Callithrix jacchus: one gene and its partners. The protein of the gene in region 1 purifies or fractionates together with the protein of each later gene. This does not show direct contact. Links are inferred from orthologs where the notes say so. Each region holds a gene or a part of one and is shown in the gene's direction. Other genes may lie near its edges. The genes, in order: U2AF2, SNRPA1, RNPS1, PSMA4, SF3B2, HNRNPM and TRA2B.

What was found.
Region 2: the proteins of U2AF2 (region 1) and SNRPA1 fractionate together in Homo sapiens (co-fractionation; 3 studies listed by BioGRID, with this or other methods). This does not show direct contact. The link is inferred for Callithrix jacchus from reciprocal best matches to the Homo sapiens genes U2AF2 and SNRPA1.
Region 3: the proteins of U2AF2 (region 1) and RNPS1 purify together in Homo sapiens (co-immunoprecipitation; 6 studies listed by BioGRID and IntAct, counting the BioPlex papers as one, with this or other methods). This does not show direct contact. The link is inferred for Callithrix jacchus from reciprocal best matches to the Homo sapiens genes U2AF2 and RNPS1.
Region 4: the proteins of U2AF2 (region 1) and PSMA4 fractionate together in Homo sapiens (co-fractionation; 3 studies listed by BioGRID, with this or other methods). This does not show direct contact. The link is inferred for Callithrix jacchus from reciprocal best matches to the Homo sapiens genes U2AF2 and PSMA4.
Region 5: the proteins of U2AF2 (region 1) and SF3B2 purify together in Homo sapiens (affinity purification with mass spectrometry; 3 studies listed by BioGRID and IntAct, counting the BioPlex papers as one, with this or other methods). This does not show direct contact. The link is inferred for Callithrix jacchus from reciprocal best matches to the Homo sapiens genes U2AF2 and SF3B2.
Region 6: the proteins of U2AF2 (region 1) and HNRNPM fractionate together in Homo sapiens (co-fractionation; 4 studies listed by BioGRID, with this or other methods). This does not show direct contact. The link is inferred for Callithrix jacchus from reciprocal best matches to the Homo sapiens genes U2AF2 and HNRNPM.
Region 7: the proteins of U2AF2 (region 1) and TRA2B purify together in Homo sapiens (affinity purification with mass spectrometry; 4 studies listed by BioGRID and IntAct, counting the BioPlex papers as one, with this or other methods). This does not show direct contact. The link is inferred for Callithrix jacchus from reciprocal best matches to the Homo sapiens genes U2AF2 and TRA2B.

What each region holds. Positions count from the first base shown.
Region 1 is NC_133523.1:48,521,779-48,525,452, forward strand, and holds part of U2AF2 (splicing factor U2AF 65 kDa subunit), read left to right. Parts: intron 1-2,388; coding exon 2,389-2,524; intron 2,525-3,355; coding exon 3,356-3,400; intron 3,401-3,674. UniProt on the Homo sapiens protein: Plays a role in pre-mRNA splicing and 3'-end processing. By recruiting PRPF19 and the PRP19C/Prp19 complex/NTC/Nineteen complex to the RNA polymerase II C-terminal domain (CTD), and thereby pre-mRNA, may couple transcription to splicing.
Region 2 is NC_133507.1:8,684,823-8,689,108, forward strand, and holds the start of SNRPA1 (U2 small nuclear ribonucleoprotein A'), read left to right. Parts: upstream 1-1,474; 5' UTR 1,475-1,540; coding exon 1,541-1,622; intron 1,623-4,225; coding exon 4,226-4,286. UniProt on the Homo sapiens protein: Involved in pre-mRNA splicing as component of the spliceosome. Associated with sn-RNP U2, where it contributes to the binding of stem loop IV of U2 snRNA.
Region 3 is NC_133513.1:4,501,404-4,505,851, forward strand, and holds the start of RNPS1 (RNA-binding protein with serine-rich domain 1), read left to right. Parts: upstream 1-1,510; 5' UTR 1,511-1,568; coding exon of another isoform or gene 1,569-1,570; exon of another isoform or gene 1,571-4,151; intron 4,152-4,355; exon of another isoform or gene 4,356-4,434; intron 4,435-4,448. Other genes in the region: uncharacterized protein LOC144578542, read left to right, coding at 232-1,419. UniProt on the Homo sapiens protein: Part of pre- and post-splicing multiprotein mRNP complexes. Auxiliary component of the splicing-dependent multiprotein exon junction complex (EJC) deposited at splice junction on mRNAs.
Region 4 is NC_133509.1:25,910,289-25,914,264, forward strand, and holds the start of PSMA4 (proteasome subunit alpha type-4), read left to right. Parts: upstream 1-1,468; intron 1,469-1,782; coding exon of another isoform or gene 1,783-1,814; intron 1,815-2,417; 5' UTR 2,418-2,440; coding exon 2,441-2,443; intron 2,444-2,679; coding exon 2,680-2,722; intron 2,723-2,987; coding exon 2,988-3,150; intron 3,151-3,976. Other genes in the region: uncharacterized protein LOC144577225, read right to left, coding at 790-1,398, 1,783-1,814. UniProt on the Homo sapiens protein: Component of the 20S core proteasome complex involved in the proteolytic degradation of most intracellular proteins. This complex plays numerous essential roles within the cell by associating with different regulatory particles.
Region 5 is NC_133511.1:123,141,644-123,145,317, forward strand, and holds the end of SF3B2 (splicing factor 3B subunit 2), read left to right. Parts: intron 1-2,677; coding exon 2,678-2,777; intron 2,778-2,881; coding exon 2,882-3,067; intron 3,068-3,401; coding exon 3,402-3,473; 3' UTR 3,474-3,620; downstream 3,621-3,674. UniProt on the Homo sapiens protein: Component of the 17S U2 SnRNP complex of the spliceosome, a large ribonucleoprotein complex that removes introns from transcribed pre-mRNAs.
Region 6 is NC_133523.1:8,004,167-8,007,536, forward strand, and holds the end of HNRNPM (heterogeneous nuclear ribonucleoprotein M), read left to right. Parts: coding exon 1-108; intron 109-706; coding exon 707-758; intron 759-2,287; coding exon 2,288-2,451; 3' UTR 2,452-2,710; downstream 2,711-3,370. UniProt on the Homo sapiens protein: Pre-mRNA binding protein in vivo, binds avidly to poly(G) and poly(U) RNA homopolymers in vitro. Involved in splicing.
Region 7 is NC_133516.1:14,879,582-14,883,786, reverse strand, and holds the start of TRA2B (transformer-2 protein homolog beta), read left to right. Parts: upstream 1-1,233; 5' UTR 1,234-1,388; coding exon 1,389-1,424; intron 1,425-4,205. UniProt on the Homo sapiens protein: Sequence-specific RNA-binding protein which participates in the control of pre-mRNA splicing. Can either activate or suppress exon inclusion. Acts additively with RBMX to promote exon 7 inclusion of the survival motor neuron SMN2.

The sequences.
Region 1 (3,674 bases):
AAGAAAAAACCAAATCTTAAAGGCTTCAGTTGCTTTTGCATGGTTTTATGTTGTTGGTAAGTAGAAAAACAGGTACTGATTTTGAGCTCTGGCTGGCTGCAAAGCCACGTTCCTCTATGCTGACCACCAAGTCGAGCTGATTGGTCCGTTCTTTGAGGCCCTTAGATGGCACCGTACTGGTTCTCCTGTGGTTTCTCCTCTGATGCTGGGAGGCCAGTGCCTGGACCTGGCGTGGTTCCTGGGTTGGCGGAGCTGCTCCCATAAGATGACCACAATACAATGTTTTCAGCAAACGAAACTCCCTTTCTGTTTTTACCTGTCCAGCATCAGTGTGTGGGAGAGGGTTCTTGCCGTAGGGGAAGCTCTGCCCGCGCACACGTATCATTCTGGCTGTGGGTCTTTGTCTCTTTGGAGGACGGGCCAGCTTCTGTACCTGCCCGCTTCTGCTTCAGCGCCTTCCTCTGCTCGCTGTGTCTACAGGGAATTTCCTTGTCTATGTCCCAGGCACCCAGCCAGGCGTCACTGCTTTCTGTGCGTGTGTTCCTTTCTGCCTGCTGCCTGTTTCAGAGCCTTAGCAGCAGGAAGGGCTCCTGGGGCTCACAGCCTGTCCATCTTTCAAGTGTGGAGCCAGCGCTGTGCCCGCTGCCATGCCTGTGTGCTTACTCCGCTGCTGGCTTGTCCTGCTGATTGTTCCCCCCCGTTTCTGTCTTTGATTTTGGGGTTTTGGGCCTTCAAGCCGACAATTGCATTGTCATTAGTGGTTCTAGCCAGAATGTCCTGCCTGATCCGAATTCAGGAGCATGGCCTCATGCTGAACTTGATGGCTTTACAGAGTTGAAATTCCGGCTTCACCATTTTCTAGCTGTTTGGCCTTGGGCAAGTTGTGGTCTCTCTGTACCTCAGTTTCCTTATCCATTATGTCAGCCCCCAGCAGTGTTTTTCTGAAGCAGTAGTGAGGATTAAGTACAAACAGAACTTTTTTTTTTTTTTTTTTGAGACAGAATTTTACTCTTGTTACCCGGGCTGGAGTGCAGTGGCGCGATCTCGGCTCACCACAACCTCTGCCTCCTGGGTTCAGGCAGTTCTCCTGCCTCAACCTCCCAAGTAGCTGGGATTACAGGCATGCGTCACCATGCCCAGCTAATTTTTTGCAAACAGAACTATTTAATACAGATTTCCGTCGTAAGAAGCATCACATTATTTGTTACTGTTTTTTTCCCCCCGCTGGGTGCATATTTTTCTGAGTGTTGGTGGTTTTGGAATTGTGATGCTTTTCCCAACATTCATCTGGTGTCAGAATAACAAAATGCTGGGTGAGGCTGAAGTTTAACATTCTCCCTCTGTGCCTTTTCCCCCCTCTGGCCCCAGGGATCATCACTCTAGGTGATGCTTGTTAACATGTATGAGCACCTTAACATGTGCATCTTGTGTGTGTGTGTGTTTCATGGATAGTTGAGAAATCTGGGTATCTCTGAATTCAGGGAATTCTAAGTGGTGCTTATGAACACCCCCAGCTCATGGTTTATCCTCCATCTTGAAGGGTTGGTCTTCAGGAGTTGAAGGGTCTGGTGGAAGCAGAGGTTTCTGTGGTTTTGCCAGTGAGGCTCTGTTTCTAGTGGCCACCTTGGAGGAAAATAGGACGTCTGGAGGCTGGCGGAGATACACACCCGTACTCTACAACCTCTCCAGTACTTGGCTTTGAAGGGAGCGAGGCAGGGAGAGTCAGGTGGTTTGGGGTGAAAGTCTGGGTAGGGCAAGCTCCTCCCCTGACCTGCTGAAGCAGAGGAGGGCTCTGTACCCTCCATCTGCAGCTGCTTCAAGGCCCTTCACTCCCCGGGGGAAGCGTGCTTGCTTCTGCATTATTCACCAGGTTGGGAAGGGATGGGTTGAGTTTCCCTGCTTCCTGGGGATATCAAATCCTGCCTGGCACCTGACCTCTAGGCCTGATGATGGGGCTGTGGGTGCCAGCTGGTTGCAGAGGTCTTTCCTGAGGGGTCTCTGCGTCCCTTCAGGAAAACATCATTGGGTCTCTTGATTCCCCAGCCTCTAGCCCTGCCCCTCTCAGGGACGACCCTGGGGTCAGGCCCCTCAGCCCTCGAGGGGGACCAGGAGCCAGCCTCTGTCTTCTCTGGCTCCCCAGCTCCTCCTGAGCATCCTCAGGTATCTTACACCCCGGGGGCATTTCCAGGCCCGTCCCCCTGGTCCCCTCAGGGTCCCTGGACTCGCTTGTGGATCTAGGAGGCCTGTTAATTCCCTTCCTCCATCGAATCCCTTCCCTTTGGGGGGTGGCCTCCCTGGGGCTTGGGACATAGCCACCAGTGCGCAGGGTGGGCTGGGTCCACATCCTTACTCCGCTCATCGCATCCCCTTCCTCTCACCCTTGCCCAGAGCGGGACAAGGAGAATCGGCATAGGAAGCGCAGCCACAGCCGCTCTCGAAGCCGGGACCGCAAACGCCGCAGCCGGAGCAGAGACCGGCGCAACCGGGACCAGCGGAGCGCTTCCCGGGACAGGCGGCGCCGAAGGTACTAGGGCTCAGGGACCCCGGGCTGGGCCAGCCTGGGAGTCGGGTGGGGGGTGGGTGTTGGCCAGCCTGGGGGTGGCCCATTGATTCTGTATCTGGGCCCAGGCCTTCTGTGGCTCATCTTTCTTTGTGTGGATCTGGGGGAGGGATCTACTGCTTGGTCTGTCTTGAATTCCGATTTTTCCCCCGTTTCTGGGGTTTCTTTCATTTCCTCTATTGGGGGTTGCTGGTGGGTTGCTGGGAGCAATAGGTTCTTTCTCTGGGGCCATGGAATTGATTCTGTGTTTTCCTTTGCAAGGGGCTGTTCTCTGTCTCTGACTCTGACTGCCTGTTTCTTCTTGTCAACTCTCTGGGGCTCTCTGTGGGACTCTATTCGAGGGGGTTGGTCTCTGCCTCCAGTTTCTTTCTTCCCTGCCTCCTTGGAGAAGGGAGCTCCTGGGAGTGAGGCAGTGTACACAGCCTGGGCTTCTTTTCTGGCCCAGGGGTGTTGGTTTCCACCGCCTTTTTCTCTCTAGGCTCCCGTCTCTGTTCTCTGCCCCTTAGGTGAGGAAGGGCAGGATAGGCAGAGTTCTCCTGCCTTCTCCCAGCAGTTTCTCCAGCTAGAGACTGGTCCTTCCTGGCCCCTGGCCCCTGTCTCCTTTCCTCACTTCCTCTTTCCTGGGGGTGGGAGTGTTTGGGGGGAAATGGCAGGGCCGAGGGGGGCCTGCTTGCTGCTTGTTCACCTCGGCCCTGCTCCCATCCTGGGGCTCAGTGCCCTTGGGGGGGTGTGGCATGTGGGGAAGACGAGGGTCCCCAGTCACCCCTCCCCATACCTTTCCCTCCCACCCCCCAGCAAACCTTTGACCAGAGGCGCTAAAGAGGAGCACGGTGGATTGATGTGAGCTTCTCTTCCTGCCCCTTCCTCCCTGATGTCCACTCCCTTCACCTTCCTCACGCCCGCCTACCCTGCCCTGTCCGCTTCCAGCCCTGGCCCAAGCACTGGGAAGAGTCCACTTGCCTTGAAACCAGCACCCCTTCCCCAGGCCCTGTCCCGGATCCTCTCCTTCCCTGGAGAGAGTGCAGCTTACATGGTGGGGGGGAGGGTGAAAGGGCACCTGGGAGGGGCTCTGAGGCCCACTGTTGGTCAGACTGAGGTTACCCTGCCCCCCTCT
Region 2 (4,286 bases), on another chromosome or scaffold:
ATATACAATGGAATTTTCTTCAGCAGTGCAAGCAAACAAACCATCTCTGTATGTAACTTGGATGGACTCCAGACATAACATAGACGCAAAGAAACTAGGCCAAAAAAAAAAAAAAAAAAAAAAAAAAAAGGATACTGTGGGATTCTATTTATTTTTTCAGTTTTAAAAATTTATATTTTTTATTGTTATTTTTTAGTTTTTTCCAAATTTTTTTTACTTTTTTTTTTTAATTATACTTTAGGTTTCTGGGGTACATGTGCTGATCATACATGATTGTTGGGTAGGTACACACATGGCAAAGTGGTTTGCTGCCTCCATCCTCCCCCACCCCATCACCTACATCTGGCATTCCTCCCCATGTTATCCCTCCCCGACCTGCCCCCACTCCCCGCTGTCCCTCTCTTGTCCCCACCACAGACCCCAGTGTGTGATGCTCCCCTCCCTGTGTCCATGTTATCATTGTTCAATGAGAGTTAGAACATTCGGTGTTTGATTTTCTGTTCTTGTGTCCTTTGCTGAGAATGATGGTTTCCAGATTCATCCATGTCCCTATGAAAGATGAGAACTCATCGTTTTTTATGGCTGCATAGTATTCCATGGTGCATATATGCCACATTTTCCTTGTCCAGTCTATCACTGATGGGCATTTGGGTTGCTTCCAGGTCTTTGCTATTGTAAATAGTGCCGCTATGAACATACGTGTGCATGTGTCTTTATAACAGAATGATTTATAATCCTTTGGGTATATACCCAGTAACGGGATTGCTGGGTCAAATGGAATTTCTAAAACGAGTCTGTGGTGTTGAGTTTGCGGTTGCCTTTGCGAAGAGGGAGGTTTTCAAAACAGTGGGTTTTTTTTGGATCCCGGCGTCGGCTATGCAGTTGTGTTCACTCTGGTCATTAGTCACGCTGTAAACACCTGATTTGCACACTTTTCTGTATATCATACTTTATATGAATATTCAGAAGTCTAAAGGCCGCAAACCTAACGGCAAACCCTACCGTGCCCGCGACCGGGTTGCACTGGCGGGGCGGTGGAGTTGTCCCAGCGACCTGCCCCGGGCGGGTCACCTAGCCCGGGAGCTCACGCTGTAGCCTGGGGCCAAGGTCTAGGCTCGGGACAGGTACCTGAACTCGTCGACCCTTCACTGAAGCCCACGGGTCCCCGCGCCTGCTGGGGACAATCACAGCTTCCCCTCCCACCTCAAGGTGAGCTAGTGCATGAGAAAGTTCCCCTCGGGTGTTTCCACATTCGCCTTAACTTTTAAACACCAACGTCTGGAATCTGAGGTCCATCAGACTCCAGATACACCCCAGGAAAGAACCCAGAAACAAACACGTCCCCAGCGCGCGCGCCAGGACTTGGGGCCAGAACAACCCCGGGGGCGTGGCTCTTCGATTGCTTCGGCCTGGCGGTCGAGCTGCGCGCGCACTCGGCGGATGCGATTGGTGCTGCCTGGCGGCGCGGCGCGGCGCGGGGCACGTTGGGACGCAGGAGGCAGCGTCCTTTCGGCTACGCTGGGAAGCCAGAGGCGGCAGAATGGTCAAGCTGACGGCGGAGTTGATCGAGCAGGCGGCCCAATACACCAATGCGGTGCGCGACCGGGAGCTGGACCTCCGAGGTGAGTCCGGGGGCGCGGGCGGGCAGTCCCAGGGCGGCACTGCGCCGCCTTACGATCCGCGCTCCGCCGCGTGCACCGAAGGCCGGAGCTTGGCCCGCGGGTGGGTAATCTAGACCCGGATCGGGCTGCGCCGAGACCGCCCTGCCTGATTCTTGCCGTTGTTGCCAAGCGCGCGTCCCGTTAGGCTCTTGGGAGCCTTCTGTTACTGCTGTGCCTCCTGAGAAGCACGGGTGATTTCATTACTCCCTGCTGCATGCTCGTGGGGCTCTGTTAGGCCTTGCTTGGCTGTTTCGTAGCGGACTCTGAGGGCCGGGAAGAGCGACTCATTAACGGTGGTAACCCTAGTGCAGGGCGAGTGATTGGTTCTCAGTACTTGCCGCCAGATGATATTGTGAGTGTAGATAGGATATGTCTTCATTATTCTTAATGTGATGGAAGAAACTAAGTCCCCGAACAAAAGCGATTGTTTACCCCAGTATTTTCTTTCTTTCTTTCTTTTTGAGACGGAGTTTTGCTCTTGTTACACAGGCTGGAGTGCAATGGCGCCATCTCGGCTCACCGCAACCTCCGCCTCCTGCGTTCAAGCAATTCTCCTGCCTCAGCCTCCTGAGTCGCTGGGATTACAGGCACGCGCCACCATGCCCAGCTAATTTTTTGATTTTTAGTAGAGACGGGGTTTCACCATGTTGACCAGGATGGTCTCGATTTCTTGACCTCGTGATCCTCCCGCCTCGGCCTCCCAAAGTGCTGGGATTACAGGCGTGAGCCACCGCGCCCGGCTACCCCAGTATTTTCTACTTAGTAGCTTTAATTGTTTGGCGTTTCCCCTTCGTGAAGACGTTTTAAAGATTGAACTGTTTCACCCAGGCTTCCACCGCCGGGTGCTGTGTGTAAGTTGCGGAAGCGCTCACAATTATTTAGATTCCTGTACTATTTCAACCTTAGTAAGACTTGGTAAGAAATTGGGAGGGCAGTTAGCTAGTTGGCATTTCAGGAGACCGCTTTAGAAAGAATGTGAAGAGCAACTTCTCTGGGGTACGGCAGTGCAGTCGTAGCCTGAGATTCCCACGGGGACCTATGGTCTCGGGATTTGCTTTGATTTCTTGCTGACCTTTGGGGAATCGCATTGTTTTGTGTTGTGTTGTGTTGCGTTGAGATGAAGTCTTGTTCTTTCCCCTTTGCTGGAGTGCAGTGGTGTGATCTCGGCTCACTGTAAACTCTGCGTCCCTGGTTCAAGTGATTCTTGTGCCTCCGCCTCCCGGGTAGCTGGGATTTCAGGCATGTACCACTGCGCCTGGCTGATTTTTGTATTTTTAGTAGAGATGGGGTTTCACCATGTTGGTCAGGCAGGTCTTGAATTCTTGACCTCAAGTGATCTGCCCCCGTTGGACTCCCAAAGCGCTGGGATTACAGACGTGAACCACCGCGCCCAGCCCCCAGTTTTTTCTTTCTTTCTTTCTCTCTCTCTCTTTCTTTCTTTCTTCTTTCCTTTTTTTTTTTTTTTTTGTCTGAGTTTTGCTCTTGTTGCCCAGGCTGGAGTGCAATGGCACAATCTTGGCTCAATGCAACCTCCCCCTCCTGGGTTCAAGCGATTCTTCTGCCTCAGCCCTCCCCGCCTCCCCCGAGTAGCTGGGATTACAGGCATGTGCCATCACGTCCGGCTAACTTTATATTTTTAGTAGAGACAGGGTTTCTCCATGTTGGTCAGGTTGATCTCGAACTCCGGACCTTAGACGATCCACCCACCTCGGCATCCTAAAGTGATGGGATTACAGGCTTGAACCACCGCGTCTGGCCCAGTATTTTTATTTTGTTGAATTTAAGTTTCTTAGAGAAAGGTTCAGTTCAAGAGCAAATCATCACTTACGGTGATCTCTGCCATTTCTCTCTGTGGAGTGCGTGCAGTGTTGAGAATACTTCTTTTGATGCAGTACTTGTAGTACAGCCCTGAGTTGTGTACTTTAACTTTGGCTGAGTTTTTTTTTTTTTTTAAATAGACCTTGTTTCTTTGGAATATTTCTTTTAGCTCCTAACATAATAATGCCCAACTTAGACAAATTAAGTATGTAAACCATTGACCTCCAACTGTGAATTGGAGCTGGGGGAGAGAAGGGAGAACTGTCATCTTGAGGCTGTTCTGATGGGTTCTAAGAATCTGGCCTGTGGGGGTGCAAGAGGTGGAGAACTGTTGTCCACGGTGTTGGAACCTTGTTTGGGCACTGAAACTGAGCAGCCCGAAGTGGTAAATTCCTGTTGTGCTGCTTCCGCCTAACTAGCCCTGAAGACGTAGAACAGTGTGCACCTTGTAAATGGTCTTATAAATGTTAGCTAACTATCTCACCTATCATTACTGTCCTTGTCCCTGTTGTCATCAGACTGTAAGCTTCATGGCACTGGGGACTTGCCACCCTCATTCAGCATTTTATCTCTAGTACCTTGTGCAGTGGCAAGGCGTAGGAAACATGGCGTAGGTGCTAGGTAAGTAATACTTCCTGAGTGAATCAAGGCCTGGAGTCTGATTCCTGTGAAATACTGCTCATCTTTTAAGAGGCTGTTTAGTTATATTAATACCTCTTGTGTGTTTTTTTTCCTCCATTTTACAGGGTATAAAATTCCCGTCATTGAAAATCTAGGTGCTACGCTAGACCAGTTTGATGCGATTGA
Region 3 (4,448 bases), on another chromosome or scaffold:
CTAACTTACTTTGCATGTCATCAAACCCAAATCCAACAGGGGCACCCAAACCAGACTGGGCCTGCCAACCTCCACCCACAGGAACACACTGGTGACTTAGTGCCGTGGACCCAGGAGGTGACTCCTCCCCCCAGCGGCCTTTGTCCCCAAGTCCTCGGACATCCCTTAGCCCAGGGTGAAGGGTCAAGGGCACACCTGACCCTTGGACAGGGCCAGAGGGAGTGGGTCTAGCCAGGAAGTCAGCAGGAACTAGCGTCCCACACAGGAAGGAGGGCAGTGATAGCAGACCCCGTCCTGGCTGTCTGTCCATCCATCCGCCCACTCACTCCAGGTCGCCCAGCTGCACCCAGCCCCTTTGCTCCGACATCGAAAGTCTCCAAGTCATGCCGGTTCTCTCCTCCCAAAGATCTGCTTGGATCTGTTCCCTTCTCCCATCCTTGCTGCCACGAAGCTGTTCAAAGTCCGAAGCTGAGCGCACCGTCAACCCCTCCACAAACAATCACAGGGCAACGACTGCCCGCCAGGCGCAGCAGTGAACACAACCTGCCCTCTCCGTCTGGGGCGCCAGTGCGGAGCCTCCCGCCTGTGTCTGGGCCTGCGCCCCTACGGCGTCACCCTCTCCCATGTCCCAGCCAGAGGCGCCGCCACCTCTGGGCTCTCCCTGCCGGGACCCCGCACCCGCAGCTGAATGAAGCCTCGGCGCTGCGCCGTTCACACGCTCCGTGCTGCCGCCGCGAAGCTCGCGCGGAACCTTCCCCGCTTCCAGAGAACCTCGGCCCCTGCTGTTACCCCGTCACACGCACCGTTCCTCTCGGGTCTCCGCGGCAGGGCCACCACCCCCAGACGCCCCCCTGTGCACCCCATCTCCTACCCTCAAACTCGTCGCTCCTCCTGCCCACACTGCCCAGCTGCCGCGCCCACCCGGCGGAGCTCCACCTGCGTGGAGGCCGCGTCCACGCGGGCACCCCAAACGCCACCGGTAGGTCTGGAGCACGCGAACGCACGCCCGGCCCCGGCCCATCTCTCCGAGCTGCCTCCACCCTGCGGGTCCCCACGTCGCGCCAAGCAAAGCCGCAGAGCCCGCGCGCCTTTCTTGTACGACTACCCCGCCGCCGCCGCCGCGCGGCCGGGCCCGGGGCCCAGCGTCCGGTGTCGGGGGCCGGAGGAGGCCTAGGCGGGCCCAGAGCACCCGCGCAAGGAAAGGGACTGGGCACGGCCGCGTTAACCCCCTCCGCGCCAGACGACGAGCCTCGGTCATCGCGCGGCCCTACCAGCCTCAGCAGGCTACCCCTGTGCCCGCTGCAGCAAGCGTGCAACCGGCCCGGCCAGTCACAGACTCCTCCGGCCGGGACACACCGCCGGCGGGGAGACACCGCGAGCGCTCCAACGCGGCTCACACACGCCGCCTTGACTCTCTGAACACTTCACCGCTCGCGCCCATTGGCCCAGGCATTTACGTCATCGCTGCGCGCCGGACGGCAGCGTCTTCCCGCTCCTTAACTCTGACGTCAGAGCGGAGCCGGCTTGAGCGGCTGAGAAAGGCAGGAGGAGGTGTCGGCGGCGGGAAGATGTAAGTGGGGCGGAATCCGACCGCATCCGAGCTTTAGGGGTTGCCAGTCAGGCCCGGCAGGAAGCATCGTGAAGCTGGTCCACTCCCCAGCCCCGCAGTGCGGCGGCAGCATGGCGGCGCGGTGCGGACTCTAAAAAGAAAGAGTGTAGCCCGGGGTGGGCGGGGTGGGAGGTGTCGTGGCCGTGGCCCGGAAGTGGTCGGGGCCGCGGCGGACGGAAGGGCGCCTCTGCTTCGTCCGTTCGGCGGCGGCCCAGCCAGGCCCGTGGGACTCTGAGCAGCGGGGAGCGCGGCTTCCGCCCTTGGGGCCCTCCTGCCGTGCCGGAGACCCAGGCCCCCAACGCCAGGCCCTGCCCTAGAAGCGCTCGCGGCCCGGCGCCTGGACAAGGGAGTTGTGAGTGAACGCGGACGGGGAGCGGCGAGGTCGGCGTGTCGGGCCGGTGCCGGCGGGCGCGGAGTTTCTTTGTGGGATACAGTGGAAGGCTGGCCGATCCCCCCATCGGAGGCATTGATTCAAACATGCACTCCGCGAACGTTTCCCGGGCTCCCGTGTGCAGTTCTCGGCGCTAGGCCTGGGGGATGTGGCCCGCTATGGACCGAGCACGGTGGCCTGGCCCCGTTTGATGGGTTAACCCCGGAGGGGTGGATACGGGAAGGTTAAGGTTGCTGGAGGAGAAACGTGGAGTAGGCTTTTTGTCTTGATTTCGCATGAACTGTGCCTGAAATGTACTTTTAAATGGGGAAGGCGCTCTGAAGATTTGTGCCGAAACGCCCTCTCCTCGAGATTTAACTAACTGTTCTCTCCTCTCTCTGGCTGTTGGACGCGCACCTTTCCGGAGGATGGGGGAGGTAACCGAGGTCCTGAGCCGGTACCTGAACTTGTGTGAACAGAGAACCTCAACCTTTGCTTTCTAGCATTCGACCGCACCCAGCAAAGCGTCCGCTTTCTCAGTGGTTCTTAGAGTGCTTAAGAACGGTGCTCCTTGATCTCACGAAGCGAATCAAAGTAGCGGTGTTTGATTTCACAGAGTACATTTGGGCAGATCTTTAGGACTAGGGGGTGGGGCTGGAATATGCGGGTGTGACCTGCACTCTAGATCTGTGCTGTCCAGTGAGGTAGCCATTGGCCCCACGTGGCTACTGAGCATGTTGAAATACAGCAGCTAATCAAAACTGAGATGTTAAAACACACCCCAAATTTAGAAGACTTACTCTGAACAACAACAAAAAAAGAAACCTTTAGATTTTTATGTTGATTATTTGATGGAAAAGTATTTTGGATTTGTGTCAAATGTTAATTAATTTCACCCATTTTTGTGACGTGGCTACTAAGGAATTTGAGATTCTGCTTGTGGCTCCTCACACTATTTCTGTTGGACAGTGCTGCTGCAGATGATCCTAAGGTGGGTGGGTGCGGGAGCCCTGCAGAGAGTTCAGAAATTACGTGGGACTTTGGAGACAAGTGTCTGGGGGGGGGGAAGGAGCCTCTGGACGTGAAGATAAAACCCTTGCTTCTCACATGTATTGAGCCTTTGATTAATGCCCTGCATAACTGTAAGGTTGGAACTGTAGTTGTCTCCATATTGATGATGAGAAACTTGAAAAACGATAAGTGACCTGTTCAAAATTGCACAGTAAAACTTCAAATCAAACCCAGGCCTCCTGGCTCCAGACTGGGAATTATACTCTGATACTCACTGTTTGTCCAAGGACACCAGCCATACCGGGCACTGCCTGCTGGGTGTCTGCAGAACATCACTGTTCTGAGGCAAAACACTATGCCCTGGACAAGAGCAGCAAAGGTGATGTTCGGCCCTCCATGACTCATTTGACAGCTCAAAGCCAGGTGCTCTTCTTTCTTGGTCAGAACACGTTTTCAGCACTGGCATTTCTGCATGGGGAAACCAGAACCCCATTAGTGTGCTGTGCCCTGCTTACGTACAGGCTGTTGGTTGGAGAAGGTGAGACAGAAGTAGCTGAGACTCACATCCTGAGAGCTTTACTTAAAAACTCATGCAGCTTGTGCAGACCTGGCTGGAAATACTGAAGGCAGCAGTCCCTCTGAAATAGAGCCCATAGCTTATTAGCAGTTTGTTTTGAGTAATTTGTTACCATTATTTGAGCACACGCTGCAGTCCAGGCGTTTTGCTAAACTTAAACGTAGGTAGTCTTACGTGGTAGGTAGTCTCTCCCGAAACCTCAGTGCCTACTTTTTTTCTTCAACATCTTATTTTTGAAAAGTTTAAGCACATAGGAAGGTTGAATTATACAGTTAATGCCCACAAAAACCACTTGAGGGCTGGGAGCGGTGGCTTATGCCTGTAATTACAGCACTTTTGGGAGGCCAAGGTGGGCTGATCACGAAGTTAGGAGTTTGAGACCAGGCTGGCCAGTATGGTGAAACCCTGTCTCTACTAAAAACACAAAAATTAGCCAGGCGTGGTGGCACACACCTTTAGTCCCAGCTACTCAGGAAGCTGAGGCAGAAGAATCACCTACACCCAGGAGACAGAGGTTGCAGTGAGCTGAGATCGTGCCAGTGTACTCCAGCCTGGTGACTCCGTCTCGAAAAAAACCCTTAAAAGTTTGTTACATTTCTGCTTTATTTGAAGTAAATTGCACACTTGCATGTGTTTTCCCTACACACTCAGTATGCATATTCCTAAAGTACAGTGTTTGCAATCACTGCTTTTTAAATGTCCATGCGGTACATTTTATCTGTTTGCATTTGGGTGTTAAGTGTTTTGATGCTGGTACTAGTCACTTTTGAAATGGTTTTTGCTTCCAGTCGTATTATCCAGTGTATCCCAAAAGGAAATTGCTGCAATGAAACAGGAGACCTAATCCTGTCTGGAGACCACCCCTGAGTTAGGTTCCCTGT
Region 4 (3,976 bases), on another chromosome or scaffold:
TTCCCAAAGTGTGAACCTGATTATAATTTTTTAAATTTAATTTTTAGAGCCAGAGTCTTTATCTCTCACCCAGGCTGGAGTGCAGCGGTGCAATCATACCTCATTGCAGCCTCAAACTCCTAGCCTCAAGCCAGCCTCCTGCCTCAGCTTCCCAAAGCCGTAGAATTACAGGTGTGAGTCACCGTGCTGACACTCATTATTATTTTTTTTTCTTTTGAGACGGAGTCTCACTCTTTACTCCAGCCCAGACTGGAGTAAAGTGGCGTACTCTCAGCTCACTGCAACCTCCACCTCCCAAATTCAAGCGATTCTCCTGCCTCAGCCTCCTGAGTAGCTAGGATTACAGGCACCTGCAACCACGCCCAGCTAATTTTTGTATTTTTAGTAGAGATGGGGTTTAACCATATTGACCAGACTGGCCTCGAACTCCCGACCCGAGGTGATCCACCCACCTTGGCCTCCTTTCAAAGTGCTGGGATTACCGGCGTGAGCCACCCCGCCCAGCCTTCCTCATCATAATTTATATGTCCAAAAGTGTATGCATCAGCAGTAATAGTGGAAGCCATAATGAAAAAGGGAGATGATGAGACGGGTGAAGTCTGATATGGTTGGAACCGTTTTGGGAAACAGGACAGGAATGATAGCAATTAAGAGGCAGGTCCACACTATGTGTTATCCTAGCTCTGAATAGTCAAGAGAAAGTGAAAGTAGAGCCCCAAGAGTAGGAGAAGGAAATTAGCTATACAGCAATTCCACTCTGGTTGGCTACGCTCTTAGTGCCCTCCTCACCATAGCACAGCAGCCTCTCCACCTGCTGAGGGCTCCAGCGCCCCAGAGTCCCCGCACCTCGCGCCCCAGCTCCCACGAGGGCCAAGGGTTCTCACTCCGCCCTGCAAGGAGAACTTCCGCGTCCTCAGCCGTCCCGCCCCCTCCCCGGAGGTTCTGCGCATGTGCGGGGGCCATATTAGCAGCGGATAATCTGGCAGCGCTGGTGATCTTTCTCCCGCGGAGTTAAGGGCTCTGTGGACGTCACAAGTCTTCAGGGTCTTCCCTCTGGTAAGCCTTTGCCCCCTAGGAGCCCGCAGAAGCTTGGCCGCTCGCTCCTCAGGCGGGGCTCGTGAACGGCTAGCCAGTAGGTCTCGGCTGCAGCCGCCGCCGAGGAGCTGTGGGCACGATGACTCTGCACCGCCTCCTCGGTGACGGACCGGCCGCCGGGACTGGCCCCCGCCGGCCGCCGTTGGGGGCTTCCCGGTGCCGAATCTGGACGCGGGGCCCGGCGAGGGGGCGGGCTGAGGGCGGGGGTCTGTGGGCAGGATCGAGGAGTCGGGGCGGCTTCCGTCCCCGGGAGTTCGGTACGTGAAAGTTAGCGCTCCCGGTGCCGGTGAACTCACGATCGTGCTGTGCCGGCGTCAGGCGTGGAGACAACAGAAAGTTGCGCTTACTCTCGAATCAGAAACGCCCGGCGAGTGTCTGTGTCCTCCCTGCTTCTCTGCTCTGGGCCATCCTTCCTTTGCACCTTCCTATTGTAGCTGTCTTAGCCAGTTCGCTGCCCTCGGCCTCGCTAGCCTGAGTGATCATTTAAAATGCCAATCAGTTCCTGTGTCCCTTGGGAATCATTCAGAGGAGCCCCTTGACTGAGAGATGAAACTCAGTTTTCACGTGGGCACGCGGGCTCTCCAGGATTTGATTCCAGCTTACCTTTCCAGGCTTCATTTCCTATATTCCAGTATTTGGGAATGTGGGCTTTGGACTGAGGCTTTTCTACCGAATAACGCTGCGTACCCAGTGTTGTCTTTTGCACGAATGGTACTCATGTTGCCCAAGATAACCGCCTTCAGCCCCAAGTTCAGGACCCAGATCACTCTCTGGAGAAGGCCTAAGCCTCTTCACTTGGCATTCAAGGCCCCGCGTGATTTGGATACTTGCTTAGCTTTTATTTATACATTTTTTCAAAGATCAGCAGTTTGTCTCATGCCCACTAAGTTACCATGCCTCAGTACCCTTTGTTCATACTTTCTGCCCCATCTGGAATGCCCTTCCCCTCTTTCTTCCCCTGTTCTTTCTCTTAGACCCAAGGGTTCTTGGCCTTTTTTCTGCCTCTGCTGCCTCTTGATTTAGTTTCATTTTCTGTATTGGTTTCTCAAAAAATACTTTCTTGATTTTTCTTCATCCCTTTTCCCACCCTACCCTCGGTTCCTCTTTCTACATTATAATCTATGTCTGCCTCTGTCACCTAACTGCCAGTATTAGCTTTTCAGGACAGGAATTGGTTTTACACATTTTGGTATTCCAGCATCTAGCATAATGCCTGACTGTTGGCTGAATAAAGGGAGTAAATAAAACAGATTTGTAAAGTCAGCAGATGGTTTTTAATTTGTGAATCTTATTTTAATGATGATCCGATTTTCTTTTTACAGGAACTAGATAAAGTTCAGAAAACATGGTGAGTTAATGCCAATAAACTGTTGCCTGATAAATAGTATTGTACGCAGTTTACAGACTTGTGTGGGGAAATTGAAATGAAAGGAAGGCAGTGGGATGGCGCCTTCTTTCTTGTCAGTTTCCTCTCACCCATTGAACTTTATGTGCCAGGATAGGTTCTGTAAGATGATTTGTAGGCTTGCAGGAGCTGGCTTACTTTCAGTGGATAGGAATCACTTGTGTGTTTTTCCTTTGCAGTCTCGAAGATATGACTCCAGGACCACTATATTTTCTCCAGAAGGTAAAATAGAAATTGTTTAATCTGCCTCAAGTTAAAAAAAAAAATGTGTTAGACTTTTACAGAAAAAAAAATGTACAAACTTTTTGTAGTTGCAAAGTTCCTCCCTTTTGTTCTTTGAAGCAATTATGGTCACCAGATTGATTATACCCTAGAAGAGTAAAAGTGGGACTTTTGTTTCTAGCTTGCTTCACTGCTGATTTCTTTTGGGCCAGTGATGCGAGAGCACAGAGGAGAGTCTTGGCTTCTCACTGCTTTTGTTTTGTAGGTCGCTTATACCAAGTTGAATATGCCATGGAAGCGATTGGACATGCAGGCACCTGTTTGGGAATTTTAGCAAATGATGGTGTTTTGCTTGCAGCAGAGAGACGCAACATCCACAAGCTTCTTGATGAAGTCTTTTTTTCTGAAAAAATTTATAAACTCAATGAGTAAGTGAGATTTTAGGAAAGAGTTTTAAAAAATATCTCACTTTCTCACATAAGTGGGAGCTATGTAATTTGGGAGGGCTCTTCCCTGTGATGTCATAGAATTGAACTTGTACCTTTATTTTGCTTGAAACCTCTTTGAGGCCTGGTATCCTTTTACGTGCAGAGCAAACACTTAGTGGAGAAGCCAGCATTGTGTAATGATAAAGGTACAGATTTAGTCACAGAGATTTGGGTTCAAGTCCAGGCTTTACCCATACAGGCTACGTGACCTTGCACCAATTATTTAATTTTTTTTTTTTTTTGAGACGGAGTTTCGCTCTTGTTACCCAGGCTGGAGTGCAGTGGCGCGATATCGGCTCACTGCAACCTCCGCCTCCTGGGTTCAGGCAGTTCTCCTACCTCAGCCTCCTGAGTAGCTGGGATTACAGGCATGCGCCACCATGCCCAGCTAATTTTTTGTGTTTTTAGTAGAGACGGGGTTTCACCATGTTGACCAGGATGGTCGCGATCTCTTGACCTCGTGATCCACCTGCCTTGGCCTCGCAAAGTGCTGGGATTACAGGCATGAGACGCCATGCCCAGCCCAATTATTTAATTTCTTTGGGCCCCAGAGCCTCCTAAAGTGGTTGTGGCAGTTTAATGAAATAAAATGAATTAAATACAATAGTATAGTGTTTGACATATAGTAGGTCCTCAAAGTATTGTTTAGAATAGCTACGCAGAGGCCGGGCATTGTGGCTCACGCCTATAATCCAAGCACTTTGGAGGCCAAGGCAGGCGGATCACCTGAGGTCGGGAGTTCAAGACCAGCCTGACCAACATGGTG
Region 5 (3,674 bases), on another chromosome or scaffold:
AAAATTTTGATCATGATGTCTTCCGATATTTTCTCTGCTCCCTTCTTTCCTTTGGGAACTCAAATTATTCCTCTATTAGGTGTCTTGAAGTTGCCCCACTGCTCACTGATGCTCTTAATTTTTAAAGAAATTCTTCTCTCTTTGTATTTCATTTTAGAAAATTTCTATTGCTATGTGTTCAAGTTTACTATTTTTTCTTGTGTAATTTCTGATCCAACAGTAATCCCAAACAATGTGATTCTCCTTTCTAGATGTTTTATTTAGGGTTTTTTATATCTATTCTTTCTCTCTTATTTAACTTTTTGAACGTGTGGAATGCAGTTATGATAGTATTTAATTTTATTAATTTAATGTAATTTTAATTTTATTTTGAGATGGAATCTTGCCCTGTTGCCCAGGCTGGAGTGCAGTGGTGCAATCTTGGCTCACTGCAACCTCTGCCTCCCAGGTTCAAGCAATTCTTGTGCCTCAGCCTCCAGAGTAGCTGGGACTACAGGCATGTGCCACCATACCTGGCTAATTTTTTTGTATTTTTAGTAGAGACAGAGTTTTGCCATGTTGACCAGGCTATTCTTGAATTCCTAACCTCAGGTGATCTGCCTGCCTCATCCTCTCAAAGTGCTGGGATTACAGGCCTGCACCTGGCTATAATAATGTTTTAATGTATTGTCTGCCAACTCTAACATCTGTGCCAGTTCTGGGTGATTGCCATTAGCTGATTATTTTCTTCATTATGGATTGTATTTTCCAATTCTTTTGCATATCTGGACATTTTTTCTTTTTCTTTTTTTTTTTTTTTTTTGAGACAGGTTCTCACTGTGTTGCCCAGGCTGGTCTTGAACTTCTGGGCTCAAGCAATCCTCCTGCCTCAGCCTCCCAAAGTGCTGGGATTACAGGCATGAGCCACCGGGCATGTCCGGTACCTGATAATTTTTTATTAAATGCTAGGCTTTGTGAAATTTACCTTGTCTGGTCCATGGAATTTTTGTATTCCTGTACATTTTCTTCAACCTCATCCAAAAATAGTTTGATCTTTTCAGGTCTTGTTTTTGGCGTTCCTGAGGCAGGACTGAAGTAGTCCTCCCCACTGTGAGACACAAGTACCTGTGTACTCCACCCACCATCCTGTGAATCAGGAGGTTTTTCCGTCTGGCTAGTGGGCATTGCACTATTCCCAGTTCTGAGTGAGCAGCGGGTGCTGTTATGAACCTTTTGGGTGCTGCTTAGTACTCCCCTGCATACTTGAGGACCTTCTGTAGGTCTCTTGAGTTCTCTCTGCTCTTTTCTCCAGTACACTTTCTGTGAACCGTTACTGCCTTGATCTCCCTGGACTTTCACCTTCATCCTCCCAACTCATGGAGTCCTCTGGGCTGTCCAGTGGGTCTCCCTTCTTTGTTCTGTGGCCTAGAAACTCAGTGCAGGATGCTGGGGCAGTTGAAGGATTCATCACATTTGTTTCCTATCTCATAAGACTCACTTATATTTTGTTGCCCCATGTCTGGTGTCTTGAAAACCACTGTGCCAGGTGCAGTGGCTCACACCTATAATCCCAGCACTTTGGGAGGCCAAGGCGGGCCGATCACCTGGGGTTGGGAGTTCGAGTCTAGACTGACCAACATAGAGAAACCCTGCCTCTACTAAAAATACAAAAATTGGCCGGGCATAGTGGCACACACTTGAAATCCCAGCTACTTGGGAGGCTGAGGCAGGAGAATCACTTGAACCTGGGAGTCAGAGGTTGTGGTGAGCTAAGATTGCACCATTGCGCACCATGGGCAACAAAAGCAAAACTCTGTCTCAAAAACAAAAAACAAAAAACACAGTTTCATATATTTTGCCCATTTTTTGTTTGTTTCAGGCAGGAGGGTATATCTGATTCTTGTTGCTCCTTGTCAGGAAGCAGAACTCTCAAACTTTGCATATTCATGGAAGAAAAAGAAGGGTACTGTGGACAGGGTATAGTGAGGAGGGCTTCGATAAGGGACCAGACTATGAACCCTTTAGGTCATGGTAAGGAGTTTGGATTTTATTCAGATAATGGACAGAAGCCTCAGACGGTTTTAAGCAAAGGTCTGACAAGACCTGACTTCCATTTTAAGGCATTTACTCTGGCTCCTGTGTGGCGAATAGATTGTCACCTCTTCCAGTGGGAGAGGTAGAGATGAGGGACATGGTCTGGGGTGATAGTGGTAGATTTGCTCTTGTTCCTAGTGTAATTCTTGAAATTGGTGGTGAAACTGGCTGTGGATGGCTCTTGCATTGGAAGGCCTGGAAGTGTGAACTGTGTACATTAGAACTCCAGGCATGACATTCTTTGGGTGGGAACTGTTACAGCCTGCTCTCTTGCCAGCTTCTCTGTACCAAAGTTCTCTTGGAAACTTTTAGGCTCTCTGACCTTTTGACCCTTGTATGCATGTGGGAGTCCTGGTCTGTGATCCCCTAACTTGGTTCAGGGGGCCCCTTAGCTCCATCTCTGTTCCCTGGAGTCGGCACTGTGCCACCCTCCCCTACCCAATTATTTTCTGTCATGGGCCTCCATGAACTGGAGGCTGCATCCCTGGGGAGCTCAGAAGCTCTCCAAGGCACTGAGTGGTGGTGCCACCTGTTTCTTTTGTTTCCACTGCTGGGGACCCTTTTGTCCCTTCCTTTTTGGGCCTGATCCCATTGTCCTTTGCAGAAGTGAGACACCTCAGCTCTTCACTGTGTTGCCAGAGAAGAGAACAGCCACTGTTGGGGGAGCCATGATGGGATCAACCCACATTTATGACATGTCCACGGTGAGTACTTGAAGGACACTGCTTTTGGAGGCTGAGAAAGGCAGCACAAACTAGGGCCTCAGTGACTGTCTTTGGAGATGACAAAGCCCTGATCCCCTTTCCAGGTTATGAGCCGGAAGGGCCCGGCTCCTGAGCTGCAAGGTGTGGAAGTGGCCCTGGCGCCTGAAGAGTTGGAGCTGGATCCTATGGCCATGACCCAGAAGTATGAGGAGCATGTGCGGGAGCAGCAGGCTCAAGTGGAGAAGGAGGACTTCAGCGACATGGTGGCTGAGCATGCTGCCAAACAGAAGGTAGGTGCTTCCAGGGGGCTGGGCTGAGTGAGAGCCAGGGACCCTGGCCTGCCGATTTCCAGTGGCGTAGTGCCCCCTAGTGGTCAGAGTGAGGGTGGCCTCTGCTTGCTGCCCTGCACTTCCTTAGATTTGGAAATCTTAGAAATCTCCAGTGGGCTGCCCTCTTTAAGGACGGTGATGGGGAGGAGCTCAGCCAAGTCTGAGAGGAATCTGGAAAAGAATCCGGATTCAGCACCTTTCCCACAGACTTCTATGTCTATGTCAGGCTGCCCACCCTTGTTTTGGGGGCCCAGGGGTGGCTCAACCTGTTGTAATGTGCCTTTCTCCCATACAGCAAAAGAAGCGGAAAGCTCAGCCCCAGGACAGCCGTGGGGGCAGCAAGAAATACAAGGAGTTCAAGTTTTAGGCCCCCTCACGCTGGCCTTCCTTTCAGTCCTCCGTCTGGATGCCTGGGCTTCACACAAGAGCCACCTCTCCCGCAATTCCCAAGGACTTGTCATTTCATGTTCTTATTTTAGACCTGTTTTGTAAATAAAGCTGTTTCCCAAGGAAAGAGATGAATATGTAACACTCCTGTTTCTCCCTCATCTCCTTTTAGCCCCTTCTG
Region 6 (3,370 bases), about 41 Mb from region 1:
GAGATGGAGCGTGGCAACTTTGGAGGAAGCTTCGCAGGTTCCTTTGGTGGAGCTGGAGGCCATGCTCCTGGGGTGGCCAGGAAGGCCTGCCAGATATTTGTGAGAAATGTAAGTGGCTCTTGGGGAACTTCTTGGTGGTGGTGAGCACCAGGGGACGAGGGAGGCAGAGATCCGCAGGATGAAATCAGAGGTGGCGCTCCACAGAAGGGACCACACCTCATTGCCCTTGTCCCTAATGTTTTGTGCTAGTAGGACAAGTAAGGAATGTGAGAACTGGGTTCAGGAATTGCCTGGGCTTCTCCACTGTGCTAGAATATGGAGCAGACTCTGAGCTCAGAGACTCCAGTTTCTGATCGCTTAATGAGCCAGAGTCTTGTTGCACAATGATCCAGGGAAAGAAGTGGCTGTAACAGAATTAGTTCCCCCAGCTCAGCCACCCTTAGCCTCTTTTGAGTGATGGTTGTGCATCGCAGGTCCAAGCGTCCCGCCCTGCTTGGTGCTCCCACTGGCAGAGCCCCAGGGAGGAGCTGGCTGTGCCCCTTCACAGCCTTGTCCCACATGGACCTGCTGATGCCATCAGTCTGAAGGGCAGCACTTCTTGGTGTAGTAAGAAACTTAGCTTGGCCCTCAGAGCCAGCTGCAAGGCATGCTAACTTAGGATTTACTTTAATCACACATCAGTCTCCCTTTTCTTCTCCCCCCTCAGCTCCCATTCGATTTCACATGGAAGATGCTAAAGGACAAATTCAACGAGTGTGGTAAGTGATGGGAATGGCTTTCTAGGTCCTTGCCTCATGCTTGGTAATGCAGCTGAGTCAGCAAAGCCTCCCTCCCGGCCCTCTCCATCAGCCCAGGACTCATGGCCTTGCCATTGTTCTGCCCATGCCAATGCTCAGGTTAGGCTGAGTGTCCTGTGATGTGTCACATGTTTTTCACCTGTTATTTCATCCTTAATTACTTTTCTTTTCCTTTGTTGAGGCTTTTGAAACAAGGTAATAGTGTCTGCATTTTACAGATGTCAGGCAAAGTCGTCTTTCTGAGCTCACCTGGCTTCTAGGTGGCAAATACATCCCAGATGAGGTCAGTTTTCCCTCAGCACAGCTGACTGAGGGCCTCTCAGGGAATGCCCAGCCTAGCAGATGCCATGGGGAGGCGCTGTGGGCTCTGGGTGCACAGCTGCTCATGTGAGGGTGAGGCTAAGGTCTCGTGGTTTCCTGGCATGTTAGACAACCCTTCTGGAAGGCTTCCTCTTGGGCTGGAAGCAAGTTGTCTTCCTTCCCTGCCCTCCAGGGTAAGCCCTCACCCCTCATGCACCACCTCTGTTCTCTTTAGCCAGAGGGGCCTGAACCAGGGCTGAGCAGTTGCTTCCACCCTGTCCTCCCACTTCCTGTTTCAGCAGCTGCTCTGATTTCACCATCATTGCTGCTTCTCCATGGTTTTTGGGGCAAGCCATTGAGTCAACCTGTTTCTTTCCTCACTCCTGAGTTTCCACATTGTAGCTATTCTGAAAAGGTCAGTGGGATCACAGGCCCCCACTTTCGCAATGCCTAGAGGGACGCTTAGCCTTCAAGAGAAAGTCCAGACTCTCAAGCCCCTTGAGGACTGGTCCCTTGCTCCTCTATCTCCCTCCCATCCCAGAACCTGAGCAGCAAGTACTACAAGCACCCTGCAGTGCTGTATGCAAGCCCCCATTGGCAAATCATCTTTCTGGTGAATTTGTGCAAGCTCTCAGAACTTGCCCCTGAGGGGACCCCTCCATCCTCCCTGCTCTGGGCCATCTCCTAGGCTGAGTTCCTTCCTGCCTCTGGCTTTGTGGCCCTAGCACCTTTAGCCTCTAGTGCTCTGACCCTGTAGGCCTGGCCTGTTTCCACAGTGTTGACACATCTCTGGATGCTAAATAGGTGTTCAAATGAATATATGCAGTGTGCTGGCTTACACTTGGACAGTACAGATGTGTCCATTGGATTGTGGATGGCTTTGTAACCAGAGGCAGTGGCTTATCAAAAATGAAGCCTCCAAAATATATATAGCCAGCCTTCTGCCTCTAAAGCTGACTTTACATGGTGCCTTCTTTTTTGAACTTTCAGGAAGGCTTTTCCTGGGGCAGGGGCAGGCTCTGTTAGCAGAACGGTAGTGTGGGCCCAGGGCCACAGTCACTGGTTCTTGGGGCCTCTCCTTTTTGACTCTGTCCACCAGAATCCATCAGGTGATAGGGACTGAGTACAGTCTAGACAGGCTGAGCTCTGAGTTTGCCTGACATGTGGTCTCTCCTTCCCTCCCTGTGCAGGCCACGTGCTATATGCCGACATCAAGATGGAGAACGGGAAGTCCAAGGGGTGCGGTGTGGTTAAGTTCGAGTCACCAGAGGTGGCTGAGAGAGCCTGCCGGATGATGAATGGCATGAAGCTCAATGGCCGAGAGATTGATGTTCGAATCGATAGAAACGCTTAAGCAGTTGCCTTTTTTAAACATCGATACCAGACCTCTGAATTTGTATTTTTTCTTGTTAACCATTTTAATTTGTTGGCTGGATGTATAAAGATGTTTAAAAAATTCAGTTGCTTTTTGGGGTAATTTGAATTACTTTTTTAATGACTGGGGTTCCATTTGACTGTTTGCATTGAGATTGCAACGTGCGCAATTTTTTTTGTAGTTGTGGCATCTTGTTGACATCAAATATGACTTTGATAATAAATACTGGTTCCTGAAAGCAGCATCCTTGTGTGTGGTATGTGGGCAACCACCTGAAATGTGGGGAGCCAGAGCCACTTGGGCTTCCAGTCTGAGGAGCAGCGATCTCCAGAAACCTCATCCCCACTCTTGCTTGTCTGAGGGCCTAGAGGTGAGTGCCTACCCTCAAAAAGGGAGACTATTCCCTGGAAACTGCCTTCCTGTGGGCTGTTATCCTTGGGCTGATAATGGGGCATTTGCTGTTCAGAGCTTCACAAGGCTGGGCACGGTGGCTCATGCCTGTCATCCCAGAACTTTGGGAGGCTGAGGTGGGCGGATCACCTGTGGTCAGGAGTTTTGAGATCAGCCTGGCCAACATGGTGAAACCCCATCTCTACTAAAAATGCAAATATTAGCCAGGTGTGTGGAGGGGAGGTGTACCTGTAATCCCAGCTACTCGAGGCTGAGGCAGGAGTATCGCTTGTACCCGGGAGGCAGAGGTTGCAGTGAGCCAAGATCGCACCATTGCATTCCAGCCCGTGTGGCAGAGTGAGACTCCATCAAAAAAGCCTCCCAAGCCATCCAGTCTCCCTTTTGTGAGGTTAACTCCCTGTAGCACAGACCCTGCTTGAGTCAGGCTCCGTTTCAGTGTTTTTCCTGCTGAAAGTGAGCCCTGTGCCAGCTTCCATGCATGTTCAAT
Region 7 (4,205 bases), on another chromosome or scaffold:
TAGTAGATGAGTTATATCTCAATAAAGCTATTTTTAAAAATCAGGAATGGGAGATATTGGACTGAGGCGGGAGGATCACTTGAGACTGGGAGGCAGAGGTTGCAATAAGCCTCCATTCTGGACGATAGAGCGAGAGACCCCCTGTCTCAAAACAAAACAAAACAAAACAAAAGGCCCTTTACCTGTACCAAAGTACCTCACCAGCCAGGTACCACCTTTTCAGTGGATGAGGAGAACTGCAGAGGGATTAAGTATCCAACATAGGGGTCAGGGGCGGTGGTTTACACCTATAATCCCAACACTTTGGGAGGCCGAGATGAGAGGATCGCTTGAGCCAGGAGTTCGAGACCAGCCTGGCCAATACGGCAAAACTCTGTCGCTATAAACAATACAAAAAAATTAGCCAGGCATGGTGGCGGGCACCTGTAATTCAGCTATCCAGGAGGCTGAGGCAGGAGAATGGCTTGAACCTGGGAGGCAGAGATTGCAGTGGCCTGAGATTGCGTCATTGCACTCCAGCCTGGGCGACAGAGTAAGTCCCCATTTCAAAAAGAAAGGAAACAAAGTAGGTATCAGACTTGTGTTCTTCTCACTATATTCTCTTACGCAATGGCAGAATTAAGCTTCCCTCCTTGTGACATCCCTGCAGTTATACATGCCTCTAGCACTTATAATCATTTTAATTGTTTAACGGTTCTCATCTATTATTTCCTAACTTCAGAACAGAGATTGTTCTGATTCCTGTGTATCAAGATCTGACCTTTTTTAAATGAAGACGTATTCAGGAAAGAAATAGCTGCAAGTAAAGCGAAATGAAGTAAGAACCAGTGTACCAATATTCCCTCTCAAACAAAGGAAAAACATGAAACGAGAAACTAACAAGGCGGAGAAAGGAATGGAAACTGGGGGAAGCAGAGAGCATCTCCTCCCTCCCCGCTCCCTCGACAGGTTCCTTGGAAAGTTCTAGAAGGGATTAAGGTGTGACTGGTGACATCACCGTGGGCCCGTGGCGCCCACCACAGCAGCCAACCGGCAGGCTAGCTTTCCCGCCTGAGAGAGGCCGAGGAACGGGGGTGGGGCCCTGAGAGCGACGGGCTTGCGTCATTTCCGGTGCGGGACGCGAGGCTGTTGGAGAGAAAAGGCAAAGCGAGGAGGGGCGAGGCCAAAAAAGCGCGCGTTTCTGGGCGGGGGCGGAGCCTGGCTAAGGAGCGCCGCGTCACGTCCGGTAGAGTTAGAGCCCGTGCGGAGGCGGTGCGGAGCGGTTGTGCTCTGAGCGGCTGGGCTACCCGGTGTGTCGTGCGGGGCTGCGGCTGAGCCTCCTTAGAGAAGGCGCGAGAGGTTGGCAGCTTCGATTGAAGCACCTCGACCGGCGACAACAGCCAGGAGTCATGAGCGACAGCGGCGAGCAGAACTACGGCGAGCGGGTACGTAGAGCTGGTGTAGGGGGCGGCTGCGTGGTCCCAACTCCTTCCGTCTTTTTGTAGGCCCATCGGCCTTGGGCCGGGAGGCTGCGGCGTTTTAGGCTCCGAAGTCTGAAGCTGGGAGGGCAGGCAAGGGAGCAGCGTTGAGGCAAAAAAAAAGCCCTTGTGGATAGTGTCTTAGTGCCTTTGGTCGTGAAGGAGGGAGGACACCGGCGGGTTTATGTGGCTTCTGCCCGAGACGGCCGTTTCTCCCGTTATAAGCGGGGGAAGATGAAAATGGCCGCTGCGTCCCCGCGCTGTTGGGGGAGGGGAGTGGTATCTTTCGCCGTTGCTCTCCTGCGAAGGTCCGCCGCAGCCATCTTGGACTGGCGGGCTGGGCGCGCTGCCAGAGGCACAAAATGGCGGAGGAGCCGCGCGGCTACTCGGGCCCGACCCGCTGCGAGCCGCGCCTCGCAAGGCCGCGTGGTGGGGTGAGAGGAGGCAGACGGCATTCCTTGGGGTCTTTGGCCAGGTGTTGAGGTTAACGAAGGGCCGTCTTTGCCTCCCCGGAAAGGACGGAGTCTGGTATGTCCTTGGGGGGCTTAAGATGGAAACTAATCCGAGATCGACTAAGTTCTGGGCCTGTTAGGTGGAGGGGATTGCGCGAGGGCTTTGTGTTTGGCTTCAATGAAGTGCTTTTTTTCTGGTACCGAGAGGGCTTCCCAGGCAAAAGTCCGTATCAGTAAGCTATTAGAGCAGACCACAAAGTCGCTAAGATGGTTTTGTGGCCATCGCTTTTCCCCAGAATTATGAAGGAGAAATTGACGGGCAACAATTGACGGCGCCGTTATTTCCTTTGTTTTGAGGCGTTCTAATACTTAGAACCACAGCGTGTGTTGGGTACAATTTCCTTTAAGTTTCCACCTCTTAAAGGTGTTCAGTGAGGGTCAGTTGAATTGCCGGAACAAGACAGTTCTAGGGTTTAAACAACATACACAGCCTCTCAGTGGGGCTCTGGGTATTAGATTCGCAGAGCATTGAATGATGCGAAGATACAAGGATTGCTGCATTAGGAATCTCTTAATAGGAAGGTAATAAAAAACCACCACAGAAATTGATTTTTGAGGCTGTTACGGGAGTAATTTGTGCTTTTTTTTTTTTTTTTTTTAACTTGTTACCTAAGTTTTCCCTTACCGGTAGAGCCACCTTAAGATCTGAATATGATTTATCAGGTAAATAAGACTATTAAATGTCTTAGCAAAAGTTTGTATTAATAATAGTTTAGAAAGAAACTCTCTTACCTCCTGGCGCCTTAGTAATGAAGCGAGAGTAACCAGTTTAGAGCCAAAGCTGATTAATTTGGTTTGAACTAATCAAGCCTTGCGTTTACATATTCGGATGAGCATAGTTTTTTTAGTTTTTCATGTTTTACCTTAAGAGGATTGACTCCAGTGTCACGAGTTTAGATTTTAAGTTCTTTCTTTCATGGGTAAGAAAGTAGGGATTGGGCTCAAAAGTTAAGAGTGACTTTGTTGGCAGTTGAATCAACTGTTAAAACTAGTCATTGGCTAGTTTAGACTGCAAAGTAAGCGATTTTAAAGCCTTTCGTTATTAAACAGCAGTTATTGGGTACCTTTGTACTCTACAAAAATACAAAATGGCTTCAGACTAGGGGAACTCTCAGTTGAATACACTTGAAGAAGCTGCATATGGTATGCTTGAGAATGGAAAATTGCCGGAAGAGTTAATTAGTACATTTTACGGGAGAAGGAAACAACTGAAGGAACTAAGTTCCAGTTTGAGACTCGGCTCAAGAGAAATCTGAAATTTTCGGATTGGTGGTTTTCTTTCTACTAGTAAAAGTACAATTGTTTTGTTCACAGTCTTTCAATTGTAGAGGGAGGTTAACTTAAATGTGTTAAAACTGAGATTTTTTTTTACCTAAGAGTCTTGGCTTATTGGCCGAGGTGTCTAAACATTGAAGTTGTGAAATGCTTAACATTGTTTTGTTTGGTGTTTGTGTTCCAGTTGGAACCGTTAAGGGTTGGAATACACCTGAATAAAATTTGGAAGTCTAGGATTCCAAAACAATGTTAGGAAAACCTTAAAGCTCAATGGAATAGTTTAATCTTAGACATGCCTGTGGGGTAAATGCTTCTCTGGAGCGAGAAAAATGAGTTTCCTTCAGCTCCAGCCAGGCTTCTGAACTGGCTTAATGTAAATCACTAATCTCTTCAAATCAGCTGGAATTCTGCCTTATTTATGTGTCTCTAATCCAGACGTCCCCACCCTTCTGTGCCCCACCTTTTCTAATAACTGTAGGAGTTTATTGTTGTGTCCCTCCCCTTTAAGATTGGGTGTATGGGATAAATTATTCCCAATTTGATCACTAATAGAATACAGTGCTTATTGGATGAGTATAATGACACTTAAAAACTGTTTCACTGTGTCTCTAATGCCTTGTTGGTCTGTGGGATTTATCTCCCCACCCCCCCAATCTCAGTAATAGATTTACACTAAATCAGTCTATAGGGGTCTAATTAGCAGACTTAACCGGATCTGGCCAAACCACTTTCGAAAGTAAGATCGGTCTCATTTTTATCTCCAGATTTAAGCCTGTTTTCCTTCCCCTCCCCCCACCCCCCAAAATTGCTTGACTTTTTATTAAGGGGTTGACTAGCACCTTTTCTTCGCAAAAAGAGGCACTCCTGGCAGTTAAGAATTTGAACAAAAAGTCGATAGTGAGTTTAGAAGTGCATGGTAATCTTTAGAGCCGTATAATGATCACAGTGTATAGGGTGTGAG